3 linked regions of the Xenopus tropicalis genome follow. The protein of the gene in region 1 interacts with the protein of each later gene in a biochemical or structural test. Links are inferred from orthologs where the notes say so. Each region holds a gene or a part of one and is shown in the gene's direction. Other genes may lie near its edges.

What was found.
Region 2: of the proteins of ctnnb1 (region 1) and ube3a, one has a biochemical effect on the other in vitro, tested with the Homo sapiens proteins (3 studies listed by BioGRID). The link is inferred for Xenopus tropicalis from reciprocal best matches to the Homo sapiens genes CTNNB1 and UBE3A.
Region 3: the proteins of ctnnb1 (region 1) and cby1 form a complex in vitro, tested with the Homo sapiens proteins (2 studies listed by BioGRID and IntAct). The link is inferred for Xenopus tropicalis from reciprocal best matches to the Homo sapiens genes CTNNB1 and CBY1.

What each region holds. Positions count from the first base shown.
Region 1 is NC_030682.2:53,371,263-53,374,827, forward strand, and holds part of ctnnb1 (catenin beta-1), read left to right. Parts: coding exon 1-59; intron 60-565; coding exon 566-710; intron 711-925; coding exon 926-1,029; intron 1,030-1,106; coding exon 1,107-1,445; intron 1,446-2,280; coding exon 2,281-2,439; intron 2,440-2,520; coding exon 2,521-2,640; intron 2,641-3,565. UniProt on the Homo sapiens protein: Key downstream component of the canonical Wnt signaling pathway.
Region 2 is NC_030678.2:113,372,945-113,377,088, reverse strand, and holds the start of ube3a (ubiquitin-protein ligase E3A), read left to right. Parts: upstream 1-1,339; 5' UTR 1,340-1,516; coding exon of another isoform or gene 1,517-1,629; intron 1,630-4,144. UniProt on the Homo sapiens protein: E3 ubiquitin-protein ligase which accepts ubiquitin from an E2 ubiquitin-conjugating enzyme in the form of a thioester and transfers it to its substrates.
Region 3 is NC_030680.2:120,461,013-120,465,154, reverse strand, and holds the start of cby1 (protein chibby homolog 1), read left to right. Parts: upstream 1-1,337; 5' UTR 1,338-1,376; coding exon 1,377-1,456; intron 1,457-1,955; exon of another isoform or gene 1,956-2,067; intron 2,068-4,142. Other genes in the region: protein FAM227A, read right to left, coding at 1,051-1,094. UniProt on the Homo sapiens protein: Inhibits the Wnt/Wingless pathway by binding to CTNNB1/beta-catenin and inhibiting beta-catenin-mediated transcriptional activation through competition with TCF/LEF transcription factors.

The sequences.
Region 1 (3,565 bases):
TTTTGGCAATCACAACAGACTGTCTTCAAATATTGGCCTATGGAAATCAAGAAAGCAAGGTTTGTAGAGTTTTTCATGGATTAAAACTGATCTACAGATATTGAAGTTAATCTCTAGTGCTATACACAACTGACTTTGAGATTTGGTAGTATGTATTTAGCCAATTTAGGACTAAGCGTAGACCAAATCTGTGACACTTCCTTGGTAAAAGAAGCAGTGTATGTTTCCACCAGCAATTAATTTTGCCAGTGGGAAGGCATTGGGGAAGATTTGTCACCATTGTGCCTTACCCCAATGTAAAAGATAATGCTTTGAAACATTGTAAACAAGACACTTGTGGAAATCTGCCAAAATACAGCAAAATATAATATATCAATGTGTCATGGCAAGGTTTGCTCTCAGTGTCAACAGTGTAGAAATAAGACTAGCCAGTTTTAAATGCCTTCAGTTTTAAAAATGCACTGTATTTTGCCCTCCAGTCACTTTAGTGCATGAAGGAAAATTTTGTATAAATGCTTGTTATGCAGCTTGTATATGAACTTCATAGGATATTTTGTGCTTTTAGTTGATTATTCTTGCAAGTGGTGGACCGCAAGCTTTGGTAAACATAATGAGGACTTACAGTTACGAGAAACTTCTGTGGACCACAAGTCGGGTGCTTAAAGTGTTATCTGTGTGCTCTAGCAACAAGCCTGCTATAGTTGAAGCTGGTAAGCTTACCTTTCACTGTTATTCAAACCATCTGAATTGCATCCTTTAATCTATGCCATGCTGTTGGCAAAATCAAGGGTGGAAACTTAGAAAAATTAAGTCTACAACTCACGAGCTTCCATCAGTGCAGACTTAACAATCTGCAGCCCTGTATAGTTTCAGAAAAACTTTGTACTGATTGAGCTTAATTGACTGTCTTCTGTTTGCCATCTAGGTGGAATGCAAGCTTTAGGACTCCATCTTACAGACTCAAGCCAACGTCTTGTTCAAAATTGTCTTTGGACTCTAAGAAACCTTTCAGATGCCGCAACTAAACAGGTTATTAATGTTTTTCTTTAGGCCACTAGTGTTTAACTGTTTAGTGTGACTTTACTAAATATCTGTATTGATTTTAGGAGGGAATGGAAGGTCTTCTTGGAACCCTGGTTCAGCTTCTTGGATCAGATGACATTAATGTAGTAACTTGTGCAGCTGGTATACTGTCCAACCTTACATGCAACAACTACAAAAACAAAATGATGGTTTGTCAAGTTGGAGGCATTGAAGCCCTTGTTCGCACAGTTCTACGTGCTGGGGATAGAGAAGACATCACTGAACCTGCAATTTGTGCACTTCGTCACCTTACCAGTAGGCATCAGGAAGCAGAGATGGCTCAAAATGCAGTACGTCTTCATTATGGGCTTCCAGTGGTGGTGAAGCTCTTGCACCCTCCTTCACACTGGCCTTTGATAAAGGTAAGTAGGTTATACATAGGGTGCCCTATGGCTCACTCCAGAGTTCAGTCTGGTTTTTATTAATGGTCTGACGGGGAAAATTAAACTTCAGCTCATGATCAATACTTCAACCTCAGATTCTTGTATTACATAAACTAGACCAGTGATGCTCATGGTCTTTATCAAAGTCATTCTTAGCCTACAGTAAGTTTTGCTGCTTATGCTGCCTTCATAAACACATAACTGGTAATTTGTAATCATGGCAATTGTTTTGGCAAGAACTGACATCTGACCACACTGATTCTCTTAGGCTTTGGGTAATGGATTTGTAATTTAAATTTAAAAACTGACCACGTACGGTTACCAAATCGAATGAAAATTTGAAACTCGAGTTGCAGTATTGTGAATCTAGATCACTGAGCTTAGTCTTTAACCTCTTGTTGGCATCCTGTATAGAATGTGTAAGGCTGTATCAAAGTCTCCTAAATTACTACAAAATAACATGGTGGTAAAGTGTTAAACGGCTATTTGTTAACATCTCATATAGGCTTTGGTATAACCATTACAGTGACCAAAAAAAGGCTAGTGGTTGAAAACAAGTAAAATGTTTCAGTGACTTGGTCCCTAGAAAGTTTTTTTTATTTATTTTTTTTTTTTTTCCCCCTCATGCCTTCTTTTGACAAAATAGTACATCAGAAATTAGTTTGTCTGAAAACTAAAAATGTCTAGTAGCTGAACTACCCCACAAAGCTAAACTGTCAGCAAGGATTCCCATGCCAAGTATATAACAGTGATTTATAACTCGTGTTTACACTGTACCTCAGTCTTATTTCATTTTTTTTTTAAATTTTTTTAGGCTACAGTTGGCCTGATCCGCAACCTTGCTCTTTGTCCAGCCAATCATGCCCCACTGCGCGAGCAGGGTGCTATTCCTCGACTTGTGCAATTGCTTGTTCGTGCACACCAGGACACACAGAGGCGCACTTCAATGGGTGGAACACAACAGCAATTTGTGGTATGTAATTCTTTCAAGCTTGCCTATACTTAGATACATGTGTGCTTAAGGTTGCCTACAAGTTCTGATTTCCACTTTCAGGAGGGTGTCCGTATGGAAGAGATAGTTGAAGGCTGCACAGGTGCCCTTCACATTTTGGCTCGTGATGTCCACAACCGAATTGTAATCAGAGGTCTTAACACCATTCCATTATTTGTGCAGGTAAGACTTTAGTTCAGGGCAGTTTTAATGGAATGAAAAGGGAGAATTTAGCAGGATCTTTAAAGGATAGACTGGGAAATTAGTCAATTGGCATTTCTCGGTTTATGGAAGTTGGTCTCTTCACTTTTAAACTATCCATAAAACTAATCGGTGCCCCTTGGGAGTTTGAATGTGTTGGTTTGATAAAACAATAAGGTTTGTCTCGCACACACTAAAAATTCAAGAGTATGCAGTCTGAAGTATATGGTCCCCTGATCTTGCTGTTGTGTAAAAGGGACTCTAGCCACTTTTCAACATGAGTTTTATTAACAGAGCTTTTGCTGAACAAATTTTTCTTTAATATTTAACTGGTAAAATGGGCAAAATTTGCTCAGTATGGTTCTTAGATTACCAAAACAGATAATCCACTCAATTCTATTGGACACTTATCTGCTCAGGGAATCTACCTTGCAATGGTGCACTGCATTGCTCATGATTAAATCAAGAGGAGACAGGTTTTCAGCCAAGCCCTATTTCTTGAACTTGTGGATTTCTGTCCTTTTAAAAATTGTCTAAAAGAGGACATGCTTGGCTTATTAAACAGTAACACTGCTAGAATATTTTGCAGTATATTTAAACTAAACGCACTACTGGCTTGGCTAGCCCAAAATGTTACAAATTTAAATGGAAACCATGATTGTTTCTTTGCTTACAGGTACCAGTTCCTGACTTAGGTTAAACTAAATCTTCCCCAATCTATGGAGGAGCTCATGTCAGGGGCAGTATCTCCCAAGCGAGCGGATCTTCTCCCGATATCCCCACCTACAGGCGGGCGATATTGGGTGATTTCAGGCTAATTCCGACCGAATTAGAACTGCAGTATATAGTCTGTTCAGGGGCCATATGAACGAGCTGATGTCGCCAATCTGACTAAATTTGTTAACCT
Region 2 (4,144 bases), on another chromosome or scaffold:
AATATTTATGTCAAAGAAAAACAGTAAACTAGCTCTGTAAGTGGAGAAGAGGGTCAACAAAAACAACAGGCACTGTAGGGTCTGGTTGCGGGGGGCCTAATTTGCACACAAAGGACAGAGGGTGCTAGTCTGGAGGGACCCATGGAACCCGACTCGAGTATAAGCCGAGGCTGACTTTTTCAGCACATTTTGGGTGCTGAAAAACTAGGCTTATACTCGAGTATATACAGTAGTTTTGTGCCAGCACACTTCAGTTGGGGCCAGTGCATTAGCCTTGCATAGGGTTGCCACCTTTTCGGGACAAAAATAACGACCTTCCTATAGATTTCTTTCCTTTTAATAACATTGGCATTAAGCATCATTTTTACCGACCAGCCCAGTACAATACCAGCCAGGTGGCAACCCTAACCACGCAGTCCCTGAATTGTATATATATCTTTATTTATAAAGAGCTTATATTGTAGTGTCACCCACTGTGACCTACAGCACTTATATTTGCCTATTTGTGTCTGTAAGTTACCCTCCCATATAGATTGTAAGCTCTACGGGTCAGGGACCTCCATCCTCTTGTGTCTTTGACTCTTAACTTATTGCAACTGTATCTTGTATTTATCGTTATACTTTGTATTTATCTATTATTATCTTAATAATCTCATTAGTATTAATGTATTCCACTGTACATTGATACCTACGTAAGTAGCACTTTATAAATAAAGATATACATACATAAAGCGCTACTTATGTACGCAGTGCTGTACAGTAGAATACATTAATACAAACAGAGAGTTATTAAGATAATAATAGATAAATGCAAAGTATAACAATAAATACAAGATACAGTTGCAATAAGTTAAGAGTTAAAGACACAAGAGGATGGAGGTCCCTGCCCTGTAGAGCTTACACTCTATATTTCAATTTGAATTGTGAAAAACCAACACCTTGCTTACACAAAATGACTGTGGTATGCTGATGGTGCGGTGAATAAAGAGCCTAAAAACTATAGATTACTGCATGTGAATCTCGCCCATTGAATTTTCCTACTGGGTGAAAAATCTGGCCGTTGTTTACCAAACACACTGACATCCCCAGTACAAAAAATAAGACCATGACTTCATTTTATCTGGCCCTATTTTGCGCAAAGTCCTCTTTCCTTATTGGTCTAATTGTAAGAAAAGGTTCTGAGTTAAAAAAAAGTAGGAGCTAAGAAAAAATACACTGAACTCAACGAACAACCTCGTGTTAATAACACTTTGGGGTTTCGCAACACTGAGGTCCCCTGTCACTCCCCAAATGGCTACGTGCCGCGTCACTGCGCTTATACGTCAGCTGTGACGCCACACTCTCGCGAGATGAGACTTTTGACGTCGGGATTAGCTGTCCGGCAGGGGCCAGGAATCTGGGTATTATCGGCGTTGCGGGACGTTTAAGCAGCAATCTGGGACTGCGGGCTGTGTTTAAAAATTCGGGTGTGTTGGGCGGTATGCAGTAGTGCTGTGGTTTAGATTGGGGGTCTCGCATGAGTTCCCCGGACAAGAGGTGGCAGCAGGAGAGAGAGGGAGCCCCGGAGCCCGAGGAGAGGAGGACCAACACCCCCCGCAGCAGCCCGGGACACAGCCCTGAAGGAGACAGGTCAGCAACTTTCATGTTCCAGAATGAACATCTCCAGTTGTGTGTGTGTAGGGGGAGTGATTGGCTAAACTGGGTTGTGTTTTGGGATTGTGTTCAGTCTGCAGCAGAACATGTCTTTCCATATCGTCCTTCTAATACTGCACATGCAGCAAAGACGTACTGCATGGCCGAATAGTGATCAGTTCAGATGCATGCTCCTCCATGTATTGCTTCTCTGCTCCCATGTGCTATACTGATGATCCATGGAATGTCTGGCCCATCATCACCTTTATGTACTGCTGGCAAGTTGTTCTGATATTCCAACCAACAGCAAGCAAAAAAAGCCTTGTGTAATCAAACAGCAGGGTTACAGGGTCCAGTTTATAAGAACTTGCTCCTAATCCGTATTTATAATAAAGTTGCCCGTTGTACTAGGAGGCTTATTGAAAAAACTAGTCAGAACTAGGGAAAATTGCTGCGCACTGCAGAGTAGGATAACAAGAAAAGTTGTAATGAGAGTAAGTGGAATTTCAATAATTGTGTATAAATTCATAAATGTATCTGTTCCAACCCACTTATAAAGTCATCATTGACACGGTAATACAAGCAGAACAAAGGCTGCAATCACTTGTAATAAATGGATGTTGCAGATAGATATGACACAAAGACGGCAGGTAAGTATCTATTTTCAGATTAAATACAAACACCCCCTCCCCTAACCATTCTTTTTTTTAAATGTGCTCAATCAATGCTGCCATCATTTTGACAGAGCCATATTTGTGTGTTAAGTGTCTAAAGATGTAGCAACATAGCTCCTGCATTGGAGTGTCAATTTCCCCAAAATCGTTGGATTGACAGATCCATATTTGTTCTTGTTGGGATAGCCTCCAGTGCAAAACTTTTTTTTAAAAAAATTACTTCACCAGTGTGGGTGGCCAATCTGTGCCTGTAGTAGGTTTACTTGCCTAGAAGCCAATTTGATAAAGTGCATGTGCATGAAGAAATCTTTAATATTGTTAAAAAATATTGTAGAGGTATGGAATCCCTTATCCGGAAACCTGTTATCCAGAAAGTTCCAAATTATGGAAAGGCCATCTCCCATAGACTCCATTAAAAGCAAATAATTCTAATTTTTAAAAAATGATTTCCTTTTTCTCTGTAATAATAAACAGTACCTTGTACTTGATCCCAACTAAGATATAATTAATCCTTATTAGAGGCAAAACAATCCTATTGGGTTTATTCAATATTTAAATGGTTTTTAACAGACTTAAGTTATGGAGATCCAAATTACAGAAAGACCCCTTATCCAGAAAACCCCAGGTCCCCAGCATTCTGGATAACAGGTACCTGTATATGAAACAGTGTCCCTGATCTTGTGTTTTAATGTTTGATTAGCGCAATGTAAAGAAGGTATAGTTTGTTGCTCTGATTGCAGGCATGCAGTTGGTTAAAGAAGACATATAGGATAATTAAAACTTCCATTATTATCTTTAAAATTAACCCCTTTATTGGTGCTCCCCATAGATCCACTATGGTCCCTCTCTGTGCTTTAAATGAGGAGTGGGCTTATATTAACTATCCCTTCCAGAAGCACAGTAGTAGTGGGCATAGCCAATTACAGCCCTGCTTTCACAAAGCAAAGTCAGAGTTAGTTTCTGATCAGGTCCACCTAGCTGCTGATTGGTTCCTATCCTACAGTTCAGTATATTTAGTGCCACCGGCTGCCCAGCACAGCCTTGGATTTTTTTTAAAAAGCATATTCAATACTTTGAAGAGAATAATGCACTGCCACATTTTTGTTTTTTACACAATAAGTCTATTGTGGAAGAATCATGCACTTCTGCAGCACCACTCTGAGCCAACTGGGAGCATCCATGCCCCCACTGATATGTCTTAACCTCTAAATTGATTTGGATTCTTACCTATCCTTCATCTTCCTGACAAATTGGCAAAGCTAAGCAAAATTCATTCAGACTATCTCCATGGAGGTTCTTTGTAATGGACTGCTTCAGTGCCACTAGTCTGTGATGGACCTATTGTTTAAACATGGGATAAATAATTTACTATCTATTTTTATTCTATTTATTTTAAGTATACATGCAAGTGTTATGTTTTAGCATAAGCACTGGTGATAATTGGTTGTTCTATGTGTTCTGCATATCTCATATCTCATACCTCATGAAATATTGCAGCTTATTTTGTTGTATACCACTTGAAGTTTGTGCATCAAATGTGTCTGTTAATTTTTTTAATGATACCACTGAGGATCATCATCAACTGTTTTGGTGAATCATTGCAAGTCAAACTAACAGCTAATAAAATAATGTATGCTTCATGTTCTTGGGTGAGGCACTTTGCTTCCTTTGTGAAGGCTGACTTTATAATGTGTGTCTTCTAACCTAAACAATATCACACTAAGGTATATTTTGGTCTCAATTTGGTATCAATATTTTGGTGCACTTTTGTTTTCTGGTTATTTTTTTTCCCTTTGTAAGGGGCTCTTTTTAAGAAGAGCATAGTTTGTTTCTATGTA
Region 3 (4,142 bases), on another chromosome or scaffold:
CAGAAAGGCAGGCTGGAAGGCTTGTTACATAGACCTTACAGTGAGATTCTAACTACTCTCCGTTTCTCAAGGATAGGTCCTATTTCAGGACTATGGCCTCTGGGTAAAACAGATCTGCTTGCTGCCCTTCCCTTTATTTCATAGCCCCTCCTATTTGACAGCACTGTGGTGCCTCTCACGGCCCCCCCCCCCCCCCCCCGAAAATATCAAAGGGGCTGTAATTTTTAAAGAGGAAAGGCGGCAACCCTGGTAACCAGAGTTTCAAATTTGTATTTAAATGATGCCTACTTTTCTACTTTTCCTTAGCCACATAATAGCCCCACCCCCCTATGATCAATGACCTGCCCCAAACATCACTCACCTACCCCTGATGTCGTTGCCCCCCCCCAAACATCACTGCCTTGCTCCTCGCCCAGAGGCAACCCTAGTCACAACTAAATAAGGACTGGAGGGAGCCCTTTATAAAGTACACACGGATACAGATATTGCGGACCCATTATTATATATTATAATATATATTATTATTTTTTAAGGCATGTCCAGTCTGTAGGAATGTTGTTGTAATATAATGGATGGCTGCAGGTTGAACATCTGAGTTAACCTGCAATTTTCCCACCCTAAAACTGAGCCCCAGCCCTCCTGTATTGCCAGAAGCTCCATCTTTTCCCATTATGTCTGTTCCTGTTTGCATTATTTTACCTCTGTTTGGTGCAGGTGTGTATAACCTGCATTAGCTTACTTAGACTGTAAGCTCCATGGGCCAGGGACCTCCTTCCTATTGCGTCACTTACTGCACTTTTTTTTCATTCTCTACATTCTCATCATCTATGTAGCTGTCTATTTAAATACTTGTATTTATTATAATGCGTGTCCTTCCTGTGGGTACTTTTCTACTCTGTCAGATTGCATGGTGCTGCTTAGTCAATACCTATTATGAGCATGATTTAAATTCATTGCAACTTTCCCTTCGTATGTTAACCACTCACATTGCAGTTATATATGACGTGATCGCTATTGGCTGCTTACGGACTGTCTGGCATGGATTGTTACCTTTGCGCCATGGGATTATCCGAATTCAGATCCCGGCACAGCATTCATTAGCGTCCCTGTCGCCATAGAAACACATATGGGCTAGCCCATCTGTCGAAATTGCTCACCAGTGAGCAAAACTCCCCAGCGAATATTTACAATGTTCCTCGCTTTTTGTCAGTAGGCTGCGATATAAGTGAATACGTAATTAAAATGCTAATGTGTGATAAAGGCAAAAAACCAAAAATGACTCCCCTTATCATGATCCCTTCCGCCGTGTCTACCCATAATCCCATGCAACGATCCGTTTGGCTGTAAGCCGTTGCTATGGCGACGCGCGCCTGCGCATGAAGCAGTTACGCGGGTTGGTTCTTTGCTGGAAGCGGAGAGTAGACATAGCAGTAGGAGTTCGTTCAGCGGTTTGCAGGTAACAGAGAGTTTATTTTTCTTTCTAACCTGGCAGGGGGTATTATTATTTATTCAAAAGCGTTTGTGTGAGAAAGGCAACAAGTCAAAGGTGGTACAGACCAAACAATTAAGTAAACAATAGTGTTTGAGTCATCTAATGAATGGCACTCCTGATTACACTGCACAGTTTTGGAAAGGGGTAATATGGTTACCTATAGTTGTTCTGAAGTGCGGCATGAAACTTTTCTTAACTTTCATTTAACCCTAGGGACAGTCTGTAAACTGATAAATGATTGTTACCTGATGTTTGTTCCATGTTAGTTCCCCCCAGCACAGCTCATGGTACAGCCTCTATGATGATCTCCTGTTTGCTCTCCACTGCTTTGCTGTATTTCTGTTTATCTTGGATATCCACTGGATATCTCATAGACTAATGGCACATGTGGCATTCTGATTGATGCTACTAAGTGAATAAGCACCTCAAACATAATTTCACATATATAACTTCTACTTTATAGTGGCAAAATACAGTATCATACCTGGTGACTTTGCATTGAAGGCAAGAGAAGAAAATACCACAAAAAAAGATAAGAAATACCACAACTGGTCCATAACCCAAGGATTGTACAGGTATGGGATCTGTTATCCAGAAACCCTTTATCCAAAAGCGCTGAATTACAGAAGGCCATTTTACATTTGGATTTGTCCTGGTTTTGTCCTATAATAAATCTCAGGAAAATTTGTTTTGGTGTAAAAAAACCCTAACCAAAAGTAAAGTAACAGCCATAAAATACCAGGTATTACATTAGCCTAAACCCCCTGGGAGACATTTTATATGGCAACAGCAGCAGGAACAGATGGTAGAAGACTGCTGATGGTGCTGATCCTTTGTACCTTGGGTACTACCCAATAGTATTTTTGTTAGCTAATCTCCTTTTGCTCCTGTGAGTAGGTTTAAGGACCACACACACCAATTATAAATAGCAGTCTGTTTTTTGTTTAAAGAGAGTGACACAAGCAAGATTCCAGTTTTGTATGAAATTACCATTGCAAGCAATTCTGTGCACAATAATTTATACCCTAATGCTTGACTGCTATCGTCAAGAAATCTATAAGGGCAAAAAGTCAAGGAATGCAAGATCACTAAGAATGCACCCATAAGTGTTAATACATTTCTGCCAGGGAACTAGCTTCACCACCTTGCATCAGATAAAAATATGGCTTGAGGTACCGAGTATGGCACTGGCGGGCATAGGCCAGCCCAGTCCTTACTATGTTCGGTAGGGCAGGTGGTAAAAAGAGGGCCCCTTTATGGCCTTCTTCCACTGCCATTTTTTTTAAGAAGAACTAAACCCTCAGAATCAATACTTAATCAACAGATAGTTTATATTATATTCATATTAATTAACCTTAAAAGAGGCTTAAAGATTATTAGCAAACTGGGATAATGGTAGGGCAGGTGGTAAAAGAGAGGACCCCTTTATGGCCTTCTTCCACTGCCATTTTTTAAAGAAGAACTAAACCCTCAGGATCAATACTTAATCAACAGATAGTTTATATCATATTAATTAGCCTTAAAAGAGGCTTAAAGAATATTAGCAAACTGGGATAATGGCCTTTTACATCTTGAGCCACCTTTTTGTAATAGTCTTGTGTGCTCCCTCACAGATCAGCTGACAGGAAATAATACAGCTCTAACTGTAACAGGAAGTAGTGTGGGAGTAAACCCAACCCAAAGACCTAACATGTATGTGTGCCTTAGCTTGTTTGTGTGCACCGTGCAAAGGTGGTGTCCCTTAATACTTAAAATGGTAGTTTTCTATTTAGGATCACCCAGTAGTATATTTTTTATGAAAATTGTTTATTTATATAAAGCAGGGTTTCACATATGAGCTGTTTTATATTTTATATTTTTATAAAGACCTACATTGCTTGGGGGTAAAGATTTCTTTTAACTTGCGTGTTTAAATGAAGTGCAAGCTAAGGGTGGGGCTGGAAATGCAAACACGCCTCTCCCCTTCCACCCCTCATGAACACACTGCTGCTGAATACAGGCAATTGCTGTAATTGTGGGGGTGGCTACACAAATTTGTGGCAACTCATTTAGGTAGGAAGAAAGTTTGCATCTGTTTTTGCACTTTGCACCTTGCCTTCCTGTTGGTATTCCTATACAGAATTTGTAGAGGTTATACAAAGACTCACAGGCGTACAGACGTAGATGCAAAATGCCTCCTACCTCTAATTTGCATTAGAAGTGGAAAAAACAACCAGTCCCTGGATCAACATTATACTAATATTAATAACAGTCACCTTCTGTTTTCTCACTTGTTAAAAAGGTATCTTGAAACTAATGTATTTGGCAGTATAAATAATTCAGGGGAGAGAAATATACAAATATGCATGTTAAGTTTATATATCCTCTTAACTTCAGGGGGGCTGTTGTGTCCTTTGGAATGAGCTACTGGTAGATGAAGCATCTCCATATTTTTTAAATGGAAGAACCCTTTTTGACATGAGTGCATTCTATATAAGCCCAACTGAATAAGCTCTTGTAAAAAAGGGGGCATAGTTTCCCTTACATACTGTGACTAGGTCAGTTGCAAGTTGATACAGAGTTAAGGTATGTGGCAACTTTGGTCCCAGTGTACGTCACAACTCCCCCAGTAGAACAGTTAGAATTATTATTGTTATTTTAACACAAGTCT